Lepisosteus oculatus: one gene and its partner. The protein of the gene in region 1 purifies or fractionates together with the protein of each later gene. This does not show direct contact. Links are inferred from orthologs where the notes say so. Each region holds a gene or a part of one and is shown in the gene's direction. Other genes may lie near its edges.

Region 1 (7,393 bases):
TACATTATTATCGTTTTGAATATTAGCTGTCTTCTGAGTATACGAAAAATATGTAGCGGTATAAATGTAAATCTCAGTTCCAAGGGCGAAATGATGTTTCCATATTTCTCTTTTACGTTTTACTGTAATAGTAACTTAACCTCGTTTCTTTAAAGCTCGCATGCCGATGTAATACATATATATTATATCAGTATTGCCAGCAGCCATATCACCCTGCATCTAACAACTGGGAACCCACTGCAGTTAAGCAGGTATTAGCCTGGTCAGCACCTGGATAAAAGACCTCTGGGAAAACAAAGGATACTACTGGAAGAGGTGTTAGTGTGGGCAGAAGAGGGTGATTACTCACTGTGTGGGTTCTAATGCCCCTAATGATATCTGAAGAAAAAAGGTGAATGTAAATTGTGTTAGAGGGCTTATCACTTCTCATATGCCACATCTAATTTAATCTCAAAGTACTGTATGTGTCACTCACCTTATTTCAGTTTACTTACATGAATAAAGCATTTTTTCAGGTCTGTGTACACACTTGGGGTAAATGTTATGCTTTCACTCTGGATTTTTATTAAAATCCCCCTCACTCTCCCTTAAAGAAGGGAAAATCAATGTAAATCAATCAATCAAGGTTTATTTATCAATTACACAACAATACAGCATACAGCGGGGGTTGTCAGCAATGACATGCTTTTTCCACAAGCTTGCAAGGAGAGATAGGACAGAAGTTGATCGAATTAAGGTTACAAGTAGAATACAATAAATTATACAATTAACAAGATTTACACAATAGCATAAGGAGATATGGTAGGGATAGAAGATAGATACTTTATTGATCCCGTGAGGGAAATTGCAGCGCAACAGCAGCTTAACACAGACAACACAGCAACAGTGTAACGAATGATAAAATAATAATAATAATAATAATAATAATAATAATAATAATAATAATAATAATAATAATAATAATAATAATACAATACATACAATACAATCAGTACAGTGAGTGCACTAAGAAGAGTTCCTCAGTACAGAACACACAAAGAACAAACCAGAACAGAACAGTACACAAAAAAGTCGTATTGCACAATATAAATATAAATGTATTGCACAGGTCCCTGGCATATATTGCACAAAATGGTTGTAAACGGGAAAAAGAAAAAGAACAGATGTATCAGTTTACTGTTCAGTCCAGAAACAGGTCACTGTGTCAATGTTGCCACTGCCCAGATGCAAGGTGGATGCGTTGTACAGTCTTATGGCAGAAGGCAAGAATGACCTCCTGTAGCGCTCCCTGTCGCACTGTGGATGGATCAGTCTATTGCTGAAAGTGCTCTTCATTTCTACTAGCATGTCATAGAGGGGATGGGAGACGTTGTCCATGATGGCCTCTAGTTTGGACATCATTCTCCTCTCACCCACTACCTCCAGGGGGTTCAGGCCAGACCCAATGACAGAGCTTGCTCTCCTGATGAGCTTGTTCAGCCTGTTAGAATTCACTGCTCTTATTTCAGAGCCCCAGCATACCACCACGTAGAAAATGGCGCTCGCCACAACCAACTGATAGAACATATGTAGCATCTTACTACATACATTGAAGGACCTGAGACTCCTCAAGAAGTAAAGTCGGCTCTGACCCTTCTTGTAAATGGCCTCGATGTTCTTAGACCATTCTAGTCTATTGTCGATGTGCACTCCCAGGTACTTGTATGAGTCCACCATCTCCATGCCACTCCCATGGATGTGGGCAGGAGTAGGTTTGACCCTTTTCCTCCTGAAATCTACCACCAGCTCCTTCATCTTTGTTACATTCAATTGCTGGTGGTTCTTCCCACACCACTCCACAAAGCTGTTGACCAGTCCGCTGTACTCCTCCTCCTCCCCACCCTTGATACATTCCACAATTGCAGAGCCATCTGAGAACTTCTGCAGGTGGCACGACTTTGAGTTGTATTTAAAGTCTGAAGTATAGAGGGTGAAAAGGAATGGAGAAAGAACTGTCCCCTGGGGAGCCCCTGTGTTACTTACTACCTGTTCAGACACACAGTTCTGAAGTCTCACAGACTGTGGTCTGCCTGTCAATAGTCAGTGATCCATGAGATAATGGACACACCGACTTGCATCTCCTCCAGTTTCCTCCTTAGAAGTAAGGGCTGAATAGTATTGAAGGCACTGGAGAAGTTGAAAAACATGATCCTTACAGTATTGCCAGCCTTGTCCAGGTGTGAGTAGGCCCTTTGCAGCATGTAGATGATTGCATCCTCCACACCAACACTGGGCTGGTAGGTGAACTGTAGGGTGTCCAGTGAACTAACCAGGGGTCTCAGGTGGGATAAGACCAGCCTCTCCAGTGTCTTCATTACGTGAGAAGTCAGTGCAACTGGTCTGTAGTCATTGAGGACAGAGGGGCGCTCTTCCCTTGGTACCGGGACCAGGCATGATGTCTTCCAGAGCACAGGGACTCTCTCCAAGCGCAGGCTCAGGTTGAACAGTCGCTGGAGCAGTCCACTCAGCTGATCAGCACAAGCCCTCAGAACTCTGGGACAGACGTTATCTGGTCCTGTGGCTTTACCCTGGTGCAGCCTCTTCAGCTCCCTCTTCACCTGGTCAGCCGTGATGGTCAGCCTGGCCTGGGGGATGGTGCTCATAACGCTGTCAGTGCTGCTGGTGTTAATGGCGGGGTCAGAGATGTCAGGGAAAGAAAAAAAACGCAGGTACACCTTATCAGTTTCAAGTGGACTGACTATTTATCAGTGGTTGTTTGGGTAATTGCTGGCTGCCATGGTTGGCAGTTTAGCAGTTTTATTGCCTGAGGGAAAAAGCTGTTTTGAAATCTGTTGGTCTGTATGCTTCGGTATCGTTTTCCAGACAGTAGTAGAGAAAGGTGGGTAGCTGCGTCAGCATGCGTAGGCTGCAAAGGAACAAGTAATAGGTTTATTCCATTCCATGTGTGACACCTGAAGAAGGCTCCACGGCCGAAACGTTGTGTTCTCTTTCTTCTTTTTTTCAGTAGTAGAGAAAGCAGATTATGGTTGTGGTGACTGGGGTCCTTGAGAATAGACCTGGCCTTTATGAGGCATCTAACAGAGTAGATATGTTCTTTGTTCGGTAGCACGCAGGCGGTGATGTGCAACAAAACATGATGATGGACTACAAAACACTGGGATCAATTAGGGTACAGTGACACCGGAATAGGGTTATAATTGGGTACATGTATAAAAGGGTCCAAAACCAAGGAAACTATTTACATAAATCCGGGCGATCTCGCGACCGTATACACCGGTTCCGCCATTGGTCTGCCGCACTGGCCAGCGGCACTCCTAGTCCCTGCCCTGACCACCACTACTCCCGTCCTGCACCTGCAGGCGAGGGCGCTACAATAACATACTTCAATTCTACATTTTAACTATACTGTATATCCTAGTATTTTATTTGTCTTTTTAATTTCTTCTCTTTACTGCCTAGAAGATGCCTATGATGTGTAAACATAAACACCTAAGTCTTTTCCCTAAACCTCTTAGTTAGAATATTTGTATTTATAGTTTTATTTATTTATAGTTTGTAGTTATAGTATATATATATTTTTACCACCAGCATGCCATACGCTGCACTTGTGTACACTAAACACAACGTGCACGGTCGTGTTTTATTTTTACTAAATCGTTATGTACAGTATTTCATTTGCCGCTTCTGCAATCTTTGCCAATCCCCCTATTTTGGCATCATCTGCAAACTCCACTAAAGTTTACGAAGAACACTGGTCCTGCTACAGATGCCCGTGATACTCGACTAATTACTTCACCCCAGTCTGAGTATTCATGCCCTATTTGCTCCCTGTTTTCTAGTAACCACTTCTTAAACACTCGCGTTTCCCTGAATGTTATTGAGAACTAGCTTGACATTTGCAATTAGTTTGAATATAGAGAAAGTGGAAGTAGCAGAAATAGCTACACAGATTTGACAAAAATATAAGGGATACACTGCTTAAACTGTATTATTACAGAAATAATATGAAGAAGTTGAAGCTGTGTAGGTGGTGTGACCGCTAGTAAAGAGGGAAAGTTTCCATGGTGAGATGTCATCAAAATGTACTCGGTTGCAAATAAAAGTAGAAAATACAACAGGAAGAGTTATATAACTCTAAAATCATGGGTATACAGGCTGGATCAATGTACACTTGTGTAGTAAAACTTTCAGTCGCATTGACTAGATCATTAGAAAGTCTCGCAAACTCCTACGTGATATTTCGAGGCTACCTAATCTAATCTAAATTGTTTATAAGTAAAATATAACACAGGAAAGTACGACTGTCGTCTGCGGTCCTGTCAAAAATACTACTCAGACGTTCTACCGTAAAGCAATTCGTTTTTATTACGTCTTTATGTTTGGGGAAAGGTTTCAGATTTCACAATATTCTGATAAAGAAAAGTAGAGCAATTGAATGCGATTTAAGTTAAAAGCCATCATTTGCAAAGTTAATTTTTGAACAAGAAAGCCTGCAAAGTCGAACCACAGAACAGAGCTTCTGTATTGTTCAGTATTGTATATTTCAATGGAGGAAACAAAACAGATAGCCTTCATCTACGAAGAGTCATGTGATTGCAGTGCTATTAAAAACGAATGAAGCAGAAACGATGTTTAACTTCTATATTTAATTAAAAATAAAAAGATATACGTTGTGTTACTCATCTGCTTCAAAGCTTGAACTGTTTTGTTTATGAATGAGGAGGACTTCCTGCAATGTTTTTTCTTTCAACCTAGCTACATACGTCATGTAATACTGCGGTGTGAAAAAGTTTGTCACATACTGTATTGCATGTCACTTTACCAGTGTGTTGCACTTACTGTAGCACAGTGGAAAAACAACTTTACGGGCAACATGGCTCCATAAGTAATCATATTTGCCCTCTTTTTTATTCAACAGATTGTGACTTGTGAAACATGGCCAATAAGGAGGAACTAGAAGAAAAGCTTAAAAAATTAATTGTGAGGTTAAAAAATGTCCAAGAAGGAAAGCAACTGGATACACTTATTCAGATTCTTGAGGATTTACTCTTCCTTACTTTTGCTGGCGACTGTGGTGAGTAGATGGTAGATACAGTACTATATCGATGTTGTCCTTTAGAAAACATACTTTAGGCAGATCTACTTGAATTATAGAACAATAAACTAATTTTACTTTTAGAACTACGATTAACTCCTGCCTCTTCACACTCTGTGCTATAAAAATAAAGTCTTCTCGAGCTACAGTATAGTTGCAAATCACTGTAAATCAGTTATCGTTGAGCATCGTATCTACTTCAAAATGGAATTACTGATAATACTGTCTATTTTTTTCAGCAACAGAATTATTTGAAGATAAAGACGTTCACCTGCCTTTAATGGTGGTCTTAGATTCTTACATTGACAGTCATGCTGTACAAGAGGTCAGTGCGTATTATTTACTGATGCCATTTTAACGATGGTGGTGGTTTTAGAAAATATATTAAGACCAAGCACCAGATGATACGATTTTGGGAAAAATAAAAAATCTATTTTTCATTGCAAGAGTTTATTTAAAAAGTGCAATGTTCACTGGGGAAAAGGTGTTTAGTTAGCTTTTTCCATAAAATATACAGTAGTTATTTATGCATTATTGTTTTCTAATTAATGGTAATGTTTTAATGTCCCCTTTTTATTAATTCTTACCTTAATACTTCTGAATAGTGTTGTTGTTGAGTTTTATCCTGATTGCTGTACAGAGACATTAAAATTGAAATTCTCCATACTGTAACAACTCTAATAGTATCAAGTTTTAGTAATACTGTCTTAGAAATGTCTTATATATTTTTCTTATAAATGTATTTATAAGAAATGTGCCCATGGAAGTTAAAGTGCTTGGTTGATAAATGTTTTAAATTATGTATACAACAGTTTTTATTTTTGTGATTATGAACTAATTAAGGGTGATTGAACGTTATAGGGCCAACCTGGAAGACGCTGAGGTTATTGTACATAGGAAACTTGCCTTACAGGAATTCCAAGTGCTTTTGAAGCATGTCCATGAACAGCTTTAGGAATCTAAGTTTGAATGCCTGAGCATCTGGCTTCTTGTTCTTGGGAATGGAGGAAGAGAGCCTAAGTTAAATATTTAACCCAAAAGCAGTTTTCATTGCATTTTATGAGTGGTATCAGGGTGTGTTACTGCTCGATGTTATAATACATTCTTACTTTATTTAGTAAGGCAGAGAACACATCCCATACCAAATGGCCTGAAATGCCTTTTAAGAACTGATGAACGCTTTGGAGTCTTAGTAATTGTTTTCTGATGAAAAATCAACAGTACTGATCTAAAACTGAATGGGTTTGATCCTAAGGTGGGATGGTCATTGCTCTGCAGACTAATGGAAGTTTGCCCTTCTACTTTGGAAAAGTTATCAGCTCCACAAGTTGAAAAAGACTGGGAAGTACTGGGAATACACCAGTAAGTATGCATGTTTATCTCTTCTGCAAATTCATAAACTGATGTAAACTTTCATGTTTATGTTTTGTGTTTCTAGATGTGAAGAGGTTTGCGGGCTTGGGTGATAATAAGGAATTGAAATGACCGCAGTCCACGGCATTTATGTTCCTGCAGGGTTTTATTAAAAATAAATCAAGCTTGAATGTTTAGTTTACTTAAGTAGATGCTTAATGAAGGAAGGAGGTGACTGGGGTGTTTGGGGAAAATTTGTTTGGGATGACATGAACTTTAACTTTTTTTAATTTTCTTTCTTTAATGTACAGTACAAGGAAGGAGACACCTAGGTTGCAGGTCTGCAAGTTTTACAATAAGATGTTGAGTCACTTCCTCTGCAATTTTGAGAACCACAACTGCTAACAGGCCTTTGTTAACAAGAGGATGTGATTTTTTTCTTGTTTGTGCCATTAATTGGGTCTGCTTTTAGCACACTGTTTGAAGCAGCTGAAAAATACAAAAAGATAAGCCTTTCTGTTTTTATTTAGGTTGCATGTCAGTCTTTCTTATTTTTCTCACAATGTGTTTTTACAAAGGCAGATTCTGAAGATGCTGTCTTTGCACAATGGCCATTCAAAGCTGATGATGATTGGACTCAGAGCTTTATCGCATCTTTTACAGTCAGGTTGGGGCTGTTTAAGTTTTATCCCAATTTGATGTACTGTATACGCATATAACTCAGAAATGGTTATATGTGTTATTAGTCGACGTGTCACGTACTGTATCAGTTTTTAATTAAAATCATATAATTCTGTATGTTTTAGTACTTTGGAATACATTTTTTCTCTAGGCACCCTCTTTTTATCTGTTTTAGATAATGAACTCACTTTACATTACTTGTATTGTCTGTGTAATAATTTTAGATGAAGTAACATGCTTAGATTTTTAATTATGTGATTCTCT
Region 2 (8,019 bases), on another chromosome or scaffold:
CAATTCAGCACTCTGGTGTCTGTGTGTGTATGAGCCCAGTACTACACCTGTGACTGCCTGTTCAGCAGGGGTGTGTATTTGGTTGTCTAGTCTGAGTAATGAAGTGTTGAGGGATGCAAACTTGTTGTGAAATTCTGCCATTAAACACAGGGATTCTGCAGCCCAGGTGCAGAAAAACAGGCCCTGCTATCTTACTTTTTTGTGTTTACAGAGCCTGCTGTTCAACTGATCTAGGACTGTCCATGACTACTGGGGAATCTGTACATGCTTCTTAAACCAAAACTACACACATACCCTAATCCTAAACTATGTCATGCATGTAATATAAGAGGTTGGAAAGTATAGACAATACTCACTGCTGGGCAAATTGCAAAATGCAGTGCAGATTTACTACGGAGATATTGCTAAGGTTCAGGTCTCACCTTCACATCTGACTAGATGCTGTCGCCTGGATGGTGACCAAGCAGGATTGGGGCTCAACTCTAAACAGCCAACGCCTTAGACAATGACCTCAGAATGTCTGGGGGGGGGCTCATTTTAGAAACATACCTCATTGCACTATTCTGTTCTTCAACCAAAAATTGAAACAAAAAGGAAAAATGTCATTTCTTTTGACTTCTAAATAGATTTTATTTTACAGACCCTGGGAGGGGCATTAAAGTCACCCCTGACAAAAACCGGGACAAACCCAGACCAGCTGCTGTGTGGCTCCTGTGCGCTGTTGGCTCGGCCTGTGCTGTGAGGCTGTTTTTCAGAGGACAGACCCCTCATTAGACGAATCCTCCTCACCCACACCCTGTCCTTAGCAGCCGAGCTTCTTCCTTGAGCTCCAGTCAGGCATTTAATTTCCTCTTCCTGCCTGTTGTGTCATTAAGAGATTAGGGGAGAGGGCGCAGCCCTCTGGGGGCCTGGTCACAGCACACCTGACTCAGGTGCTCTTTTCTGTCCTGAGTGGAAAACCACAGAAACTCCATGCAGCATGAGAGGAACCACCCAAAGACTAAATATAAAACTGCGAATCTGAGAGTCTCAGGCAATTCGAATGTTCCCCTTTTCTTGCAGAGGGATTTGTTGTGCTGACCTGTGATAATTATCCAAGCAAACTGATTGGGTGTTTCTGCAGTTTTCCATTAGGTGTATCGGTTTCATACCAAAACGTTTACTTTGCTTTGCCATAGTTTCTCACATTATATACCCTGCTCCCTGTGTTTTTACCATGATTCCTCTGGGCTTTACTCTGTTTTTACTGTGTTGAGCAGAGACATTAACCTTTGAAGGGGATGTGTTTGTCACTAAGAGGATGAACAGTGCGGCGGAGTCGGCTGGTTGAATCAGGCCCCTGTGTGGCTGGGTCACGTGCAGCCGGAGCCGACGCCCCCAGCCCTAGCCTGCTGCCTGAAGACGTGTTTGAGGTGATTTTGTTCATGTGAGCAGCAGCCTGACATGTTTGTGCCGACAGGTTTTCATGGGAAAACGGGCTCTGCTCTCCGCGGACGTCACGCCTGCCTCCATTAAGACAAGAAACAGCCATGAATGAAGGAGCCGCCCCCCTCCCAGCGCAGGCAGAGACGAGCCCCTGCACTCAGGCTCCAGCAGGGAACTTACCTGAGCCTCACAGCCCCCCCCTTCCCCCGCCTGCAAGATAAGTGGGCTGATACTGTGTTTTTGGCACCAGGCAGCCATATGAAAGCATACCTTAAGAGCAGGTGAAGTACAGCAACTAATCTTTGAACTGAGACAGTGTTTTCCGAAGACAGAGGCTGCTGCTGAGGTGGGGAAGTCTCGGATAGACCAGCTCTGATCCCTTCATTCAGCACCTGTCTGCGTGAACCCAGGTTTATTCTGGCTTAGCAGCACAAGCCCATGTGCAGCCCAGTTTTACCTGCGGGACTTTTTAAAGAGCCAGGGACTCCAGGTGCCCAACCCCAGGCCCCTGCACAGCAGGCGTGCAGTTTCACGGCTCCTGTCTTTCAAGGTTCTGCTCCTCTTTGTACTCACTTCTGTCAGGCGTGCATCTCTGCTCCTGCCCTGCAGGGGTCACTCTTCTCTCTTCACGCCCAATTCACATTCAACGTAGCAGGGGCTTTTTAAAGGCTGGTCACAGTTCTATAACCACAGAGAAAACTATTAAACTTACCTAAAGAAAAAAAAATGTCTCCTTCCCCTAAGTCCTGCCTCTTTCTGAATGTGCACATTTAAACTCTTTACAGTCACATTCAGGAAACAGGATGGGAAACTTTGTACTGGAGCAAAACCATGTCGAAGCCCCTGCTGTGTATCTAACCGCCAGTGCCTGTTCTTCAGCAGCCCAGAAGACCGGAGAGACCTGCTGGTGATTGAGGAAAGGAATTAAAAGGACAGTTTGTTTTTTATCCTGTGAAAACAGACAGGTCGCTTCACATCACTGCACAGCCCAGGAAACAAGATCCAAGTAATCAACAAAAATGACAAAAACAGAGAGCTGGACCCACACTGATCAGAGAATTTCAGAATCAAAGTCTGACTTTAAATGTGAAAACTGGGAAAAAAAGCATGCTTTCAAAGCTGTCGACTTTATATTTAAACTGTTGATATTCCTGCAATTCTTTTTAATGATATAAATGAATTAGTTCTTAAAGGAGGTTTGGAGATTTCAGGTGACTGCAGGGACCGTAAACAAGGGGAGGGGAGCTCAGGGCCCTTCGCTGCCGAGCTCATTCCTCAATCACACTGACGCTGTCTTGCTGCAGGGCCACACACTGTCACTGTCTTGCTGCAGGGCCACACACTGATGCTGCTTCCTGCTGTTGTTTTCCTCCTGATGCCACTTCTGAGGGAAGGAGTGTGAGCAGGGTGCTTCTCTGCAGCATTTGCATGAGTGTTGATGCCGTTGCCTGAATTGGGGGGGTTGGGGAGCTGACAGGTTGCAGCCTGTCTGGAGGCAAACAGGATGTTTTGAGACCGTCAGGAGTTTCAGATGAAGATGAAAGAGCAGGGTGCGGGGTGGAGCGGGCAGTGAGGATGTCAGGGATTCCTCAGGGCAGACAGACAGTCTGGTCGCTGCCCTGGAGTACACGGAGCCCCATGGTGTCGGAGAGGAGAGGCTGGCCAGCCATAACCCTGACCATAACTGCGCCATTAATTCAGCTCAATCTATGAGTATGTTTTGATGGAAAAAAATGTGCAAAATAACCCCAGTCTATTAAGCAAAGAGAAAGTGCCTAAGATCTCAGTTGAAAGGGTTAAATACTCAAAATGACTGTTTTTTTTTTAGTACAGGAACAGTTCTTGTCCAGGAAATAGATGTGCAGAACCAGGTGAGGGAGGTCTGCAGAGGTCTTTATTTCCTAATTTAACTACTTGCTGGTTTAATTGAAACAGCTGAAGCCTTTCTGCTTCTCCAGCCGGGGGTGGCAGGTGAGGAGGGGACGTCTGCAGGGCTGTGGTTCTCAAGCACCAGAGCGCCAGGCTGGCGTTTCCCTGCTGCCAGGGGTGCCGCAGGGCCACAGCCCTCCGGAGAGCCGCAGCGGGGGGCACCTGGGGGTGTGCAAGAGGACGTCAGCAGAGAGATCTTCTCTCATATGGTACAGAGAGGTCTCTGAAGAAGACCGGACATTTGGCAGAAGTATCCCTTTTCTAACGCAAATTCAAGCAGTGGATATACTGTTCATGAGTTGGACTAAACGTTCAGGCGCTGCGATTGCTGTGCTGGCCACAGCACTGGCACTGCAGGACCCAGACTGCCAGCAGAGTCTGACCCCCCTCGCCAGCTTGGAGGGCTGCTGCCAGAGACAGGCTGGCACAGGGGCAACGTGCTGCTGGAGCACTGACAGGGCTGGCTTACCCTGCTTCTCATCCTGGCACCTTTGCCAATCGGCATCGAGCACCGTAATCAGCCTGCGGTAATGACAGGCCTCCTGCTGCTGTGTAGGCACTGTGGGCGGCTGCCAGTCAGCATTACTCATTAGAATATCAGACTGATGAGCCTAATATGGGCTGTGTCTCTTAATTGTGTTGTGACTGTGGCTATTCTGGTATCTGTGAAATGATACTGCTCCTCCTCTCCTCTCCATCTCCAGACTGGCTGTCCATGCAGGTCACAGCCAGTTGACAGCTACAAACCAAATCCCTTCCTCCAGCAACCTTCCCTCGGCGCAGCGCCCTCCTCCTGCCTTAGGTTTGACGGCAGCTTATCCAGACTTTCATTATTAAGCGCACTAGTGGCGCAACTCCCCCACCTGCTGGCCACTTGTCGCTACTGCAAGAATAAAGTTGGACGTAAAGTCGCGAAGCTGCTCGGTCTATTCCGTAATGTTTTCTTTAAATGTTTTATGTACCACTTCTCGTACTATATATATAATTTAATCTGCAATATTTCTTATATATTCCAGGTAATTTCCCAGTTGGCCGACAGACGTCAGTCTTTTTTAACTAAGGAAGCAACCGCGTCTGTCCTGCTAGGCGCTACCTGATGGTGAAAATTCAGTATTACATTTCTGACGTTTTCACATCATGAGGAGGTTATCAATAGAAAAATAATTAATCTCACAGAAAGGTTTGGGAGAACAGGGCTGCTTGAGCTACGCATTTGTAGAACAGGGCTATTTCTGTCTCTTAATGCACATCTTTACAGATAGCGAGTTAGGAATTTATTTGTTGATGCGTTGACAGATTTCTCATAGCGCTTTGTAAACTTAATTCTAATTTCCACGCCTGCATTTCGGGATCATAGGTTTTTATCGTTAAATCTTTTGAAAAGTTTAAAATGAAACGTAAATTATTATTCTTTCGAAAACAGAATTGGAAATTACCATAACACTGGTCATATAAAACTGCTTTATATGTTACAAATATTTAGTGGATGTGGAAGAAAGAAAATGGAATTAAGTAAAAATATAACTAAGCATTTAAAATCAATATTTTATTTAATAATGATACTATAACCTCATTTGAGTTAATAATACGTTATCCCTCTTCACGTGACTGTGGCGTGACGCAAATTGTTTGCTTCAACACGTGTGGGGGACAAACCGGAACTGTTCCCATGTCACATGACCGGGGTCTGAGGCCAAACCCTGGCGATATATCCCAGCAGGGTTGGAAGCTCCTCCCTCTTTCCCTGAACCAAAATGTCTAAGAGAGGTAAGAGATCGCTGAGACTGAGAATGAGAAATCCGAAGTCATCCTTAATTCCTGGGGTATTTGGTGTTTCACAGTCATTAGGTTTAATAAAGAGATTAATTAACTGTTCACAGCCGCTTGGTATTTTACGTGTATCTGTAATGAGACAAATAAAAAATTGATTGCCAGAGCCAGGCAGTCGTGACACTCGGGAGAAGCCATGTTGGGCCTCCGGCTGAAATGTTGTGGTTTTGTCCCGAGCTATCGCTCGGGTCCCAGCTGTGGGAGTAGCCGTGCGCTGGGACTGGGGTCCGAGTGTGACCGCATGCGGGTCCGGAGTGTCCGCAGACGGGCTGCGGTGCGAAGGACTGTCTCTGTCCGCGGGCCTGAGCCGCAGCCCCGGGAGCGCAGTAACACCGGAGCCGAGGAGGAGCTCGCTGGCGCTCCGTGCGGCTGATGGCCGAGCTCCGGGCCCAGAGCCGGCCTGGCGGAGAGCTCCTGCCCCGCTCCTCTTTTTACAGCCGGTTTTGTGGGTTAAAATGACGAAGGACGCGTCTTCGCCTTGCTGTGCTGTAGAGCAGTCGGGACTGTAGAGGCAGACGCGCTGAAGTCCAAACGTGTAGTGTCGTTCCTGATGTGCTGGCTGTACAGACAGGAGCTGAAGTGCTGCACTGCTCAGCGGCTGAGAACGGAAGGTGGAAAGCTCTTGCAGGATCGCGTGTAGAACCTGCGGGCCGGGCCGGTCCTGGTGCCTCAGGTTAACGAGTCTCTTTCTTCTGCTGCCTCTGTCCCGCAGGACGCGGTGGTTCATCCGGCGCGAAGTTCCGCATCTCGCTGGGCCTCCCGGTGGGCGCCGTCATCAACTGCGCCGACAACACAGGTGAGCCGTGCCGAACCGAGCCGTGTGGGTCCTGCTCGCTGGGGATTGACCGGGGACGAGCCCTCCCGAAAGCGCTCGCCTGGCCTGCGCGCAGTGGCGCGGCGAGCTGTCGAGGGAGGGGAGATGAAGAGCGCCGCTGATGGGTGAGGTGGCAGCAACGTGCTGTTCGTCCTCAATCCACGGCGCGACACTTGCCGGCTTGAAACTCAGCTTCTCTCCTGACACCCTTGTCCCCCTCCTCTCCGCGTAGCATGAGATGGACAATCCGGCTCAGATTTCCAGCGCGGAGCTGTCGGCTCACTGTCCGCCCCGCTGTCTGTTCCAGGTGCCAAGAACCTGTACATCATCTCTGTGAAGGGCATCAAGGGGCGCCTGAACCGGCTGCCCGCTGCCGGTGTGGGCGACATGGTCATGGCCACGGTGAAGAAGGGCAAGCCGGAGCTCAGGAAAAAGGGTGAGTGCGGCTGGGGCTCGGCACAGGCGAAGGCTGCCTCTCTCTCGGTCTGGGGGCAGCTTCCAGTTACAGCCAGGAGACGAGACTGGTTGCGTTTCTTGCTGGGTTTGTAATCTGTGCGTATTCTAGTAATTATTTCAGTTTCGATTTGGGTGGATTCTAAACATTATCAGTCCCTTTCTGGTTCCCATATTTAAACCCAAGAAGAACAGACCTACCGAGGTTAACCTCTGGTAATGGGCAAGTCTTCATGTAGAACTTTAGGCTGCTGAAATGTGTAAGCAAGAGCCGTGTGCAGCTCACAGATGCACATAAGGCTGGATAGTGTTTAGCTTCTTGGGAATACCGGGAGAGTTTCTCATTGTCTTGAGATGTGCACAGTGCTGCTAGTTTACAGGATGGGTTCCAGAGCTGTTGCTGCTCGGTGGAAGACTGCTGAAAGGTGATGGTTCTGTAGTGTGCCTGTTCATGCCAATGTGATCCATGGGCCTGTGGAGCCTCTGAATAGTGTGCGCCAGTCAGGAACAGTGTTTTCCTAGCTGTAGGGTGTTGGGTCTGACCACTTGAGTCCTCCTTATTTAAATATGTTGATGATCTTCTTGAGTTAGATTATTTGTAGAAATGTATTCATATTCTCTTCCCCCTGGAGAGCTGCTATCAGGTAGCTGATGCTGCACACATGCCTACTGTATCAGCTACGTGATCATAGAGATTCCAGTGGTGGCAGTTCTACTATGTTATTACATATTTGGGGCTGCAGTTTTTAGGCTGACTAAAAGCAATTAACACAACTGTGTACATGTGGTCACAGGGGGGTTATGTGTACAAAGGGATCAGACACCAGACTGCAGGGATGTTTGCGGACAGTGGATGTCCAGCTGTCCCAGCTTGTTCCTGGAAGTGGCCCTAGTCTGCCGCCTCCCTTCTGTACACGCATACTGTCGCACTAATTTCGCTGGATAGCAGAGCGTCCAGTTTGTGGTACCTGTGGTGTTAGTGTGTTGATCTGACACCTCCCCCTTCAGAGGGATCCTGCTAGGCTCCCAGCTGCTTCAGCCAGTGGAGGCTGAGTCCGGTGCCCCAGGCGCCACTGCTGCTGCGCGCCTGGGCTCCGCCACCGGATGGCGATCGCGCGCTGACGTGTTGACTTTGCGGTGTGCGCTGACCTCCCTCTGCGGCTCGTTGCAGTGCATCCTGCAGTGGTGATACGGCAGCGGAAGTCCTACCGGAGGAAAGATGGGGTGTTCCTGTACTTCGAGGACAACGCGGGGGTCATCGTCAACAACAAAGGAGAGATGAAAGGTGAGTCGCCGGTCCTGCGCGCGCCACCCCCCCCCCCCGCCTGCCCTTCTTAAAGCACTTGCCCCGCCTGGTGTGCAGTGGCGGGGTGAGCTGTCGTGGAAGGGCACAGGAAGTGCGTCGCTGTTGGGTGAGAGGGCAGCTGCGTGTGCTGCAGATTCTCAATCCGCGACGGGACACTCGCCAGCCGCTGGGACAGCCCCTCGCAGGGTGATTGACACGAGCTGTCAAACCTCCTTTGGTCTTTCCAGCATCCTTTGCTTGATTGGATATTGTCCACCGGACA

Evidence for each region.
Region 2: the proteins of lrrk2 (region 1) and rpl23 purify together in Homo sapiens (affinity purification with mass spectrometry; 3 studies listed by BioGRID and IntAct, with this or other methods). This does not show direct contact. The link is inferred for Lepisosteus oculatus from reciprocal best matches to the Homo sapiens genes LRRK2 and RPL23.

Annotation. Positions count from the first base shown.
Region 1 is NC_090702.1:37,348,545-37,355,937, forward strand, and holds the start of lrrk2 (leucine-rich repeat serine/threonine-protein kinase 2), read left to right. Parts: upstream 1-4,389; 5' UTR 4,390-4,935; coding exon 4,936-5,074; intron 5,075-5,334; coding exon 5,335-5,420; intron 5,421-6,350; coding exon 6,351-6,457; intron 6,458-7,026; coding exon 7,027-7,115; intron 7,116-7,393. UniProt on the Homo sapiens protein: Serine/threonine-protein kinase which phosphorylates a broad range of proteins involved in multiple processes such as neuronal plasticity, innate immunity, autophagy, and vesicle trafficking.
Region 2 is NC_090723.1:10,331,305-10,339,323, reverse strand, and holds the start of rpl23 (large ribosomal subunit protein uL14), read left to right. Parts: upstream 1-5,019; 5' UTR 5,020-5,108; coding exon 5,109-5,121; intron 5,122-5,896; coding exon 5,897-5,980; intron 5,981-6,305; coding exon 6,306-6,434; intron 6,435-7,622; coding exon 7,623-7,736; intron 7,737-8,019.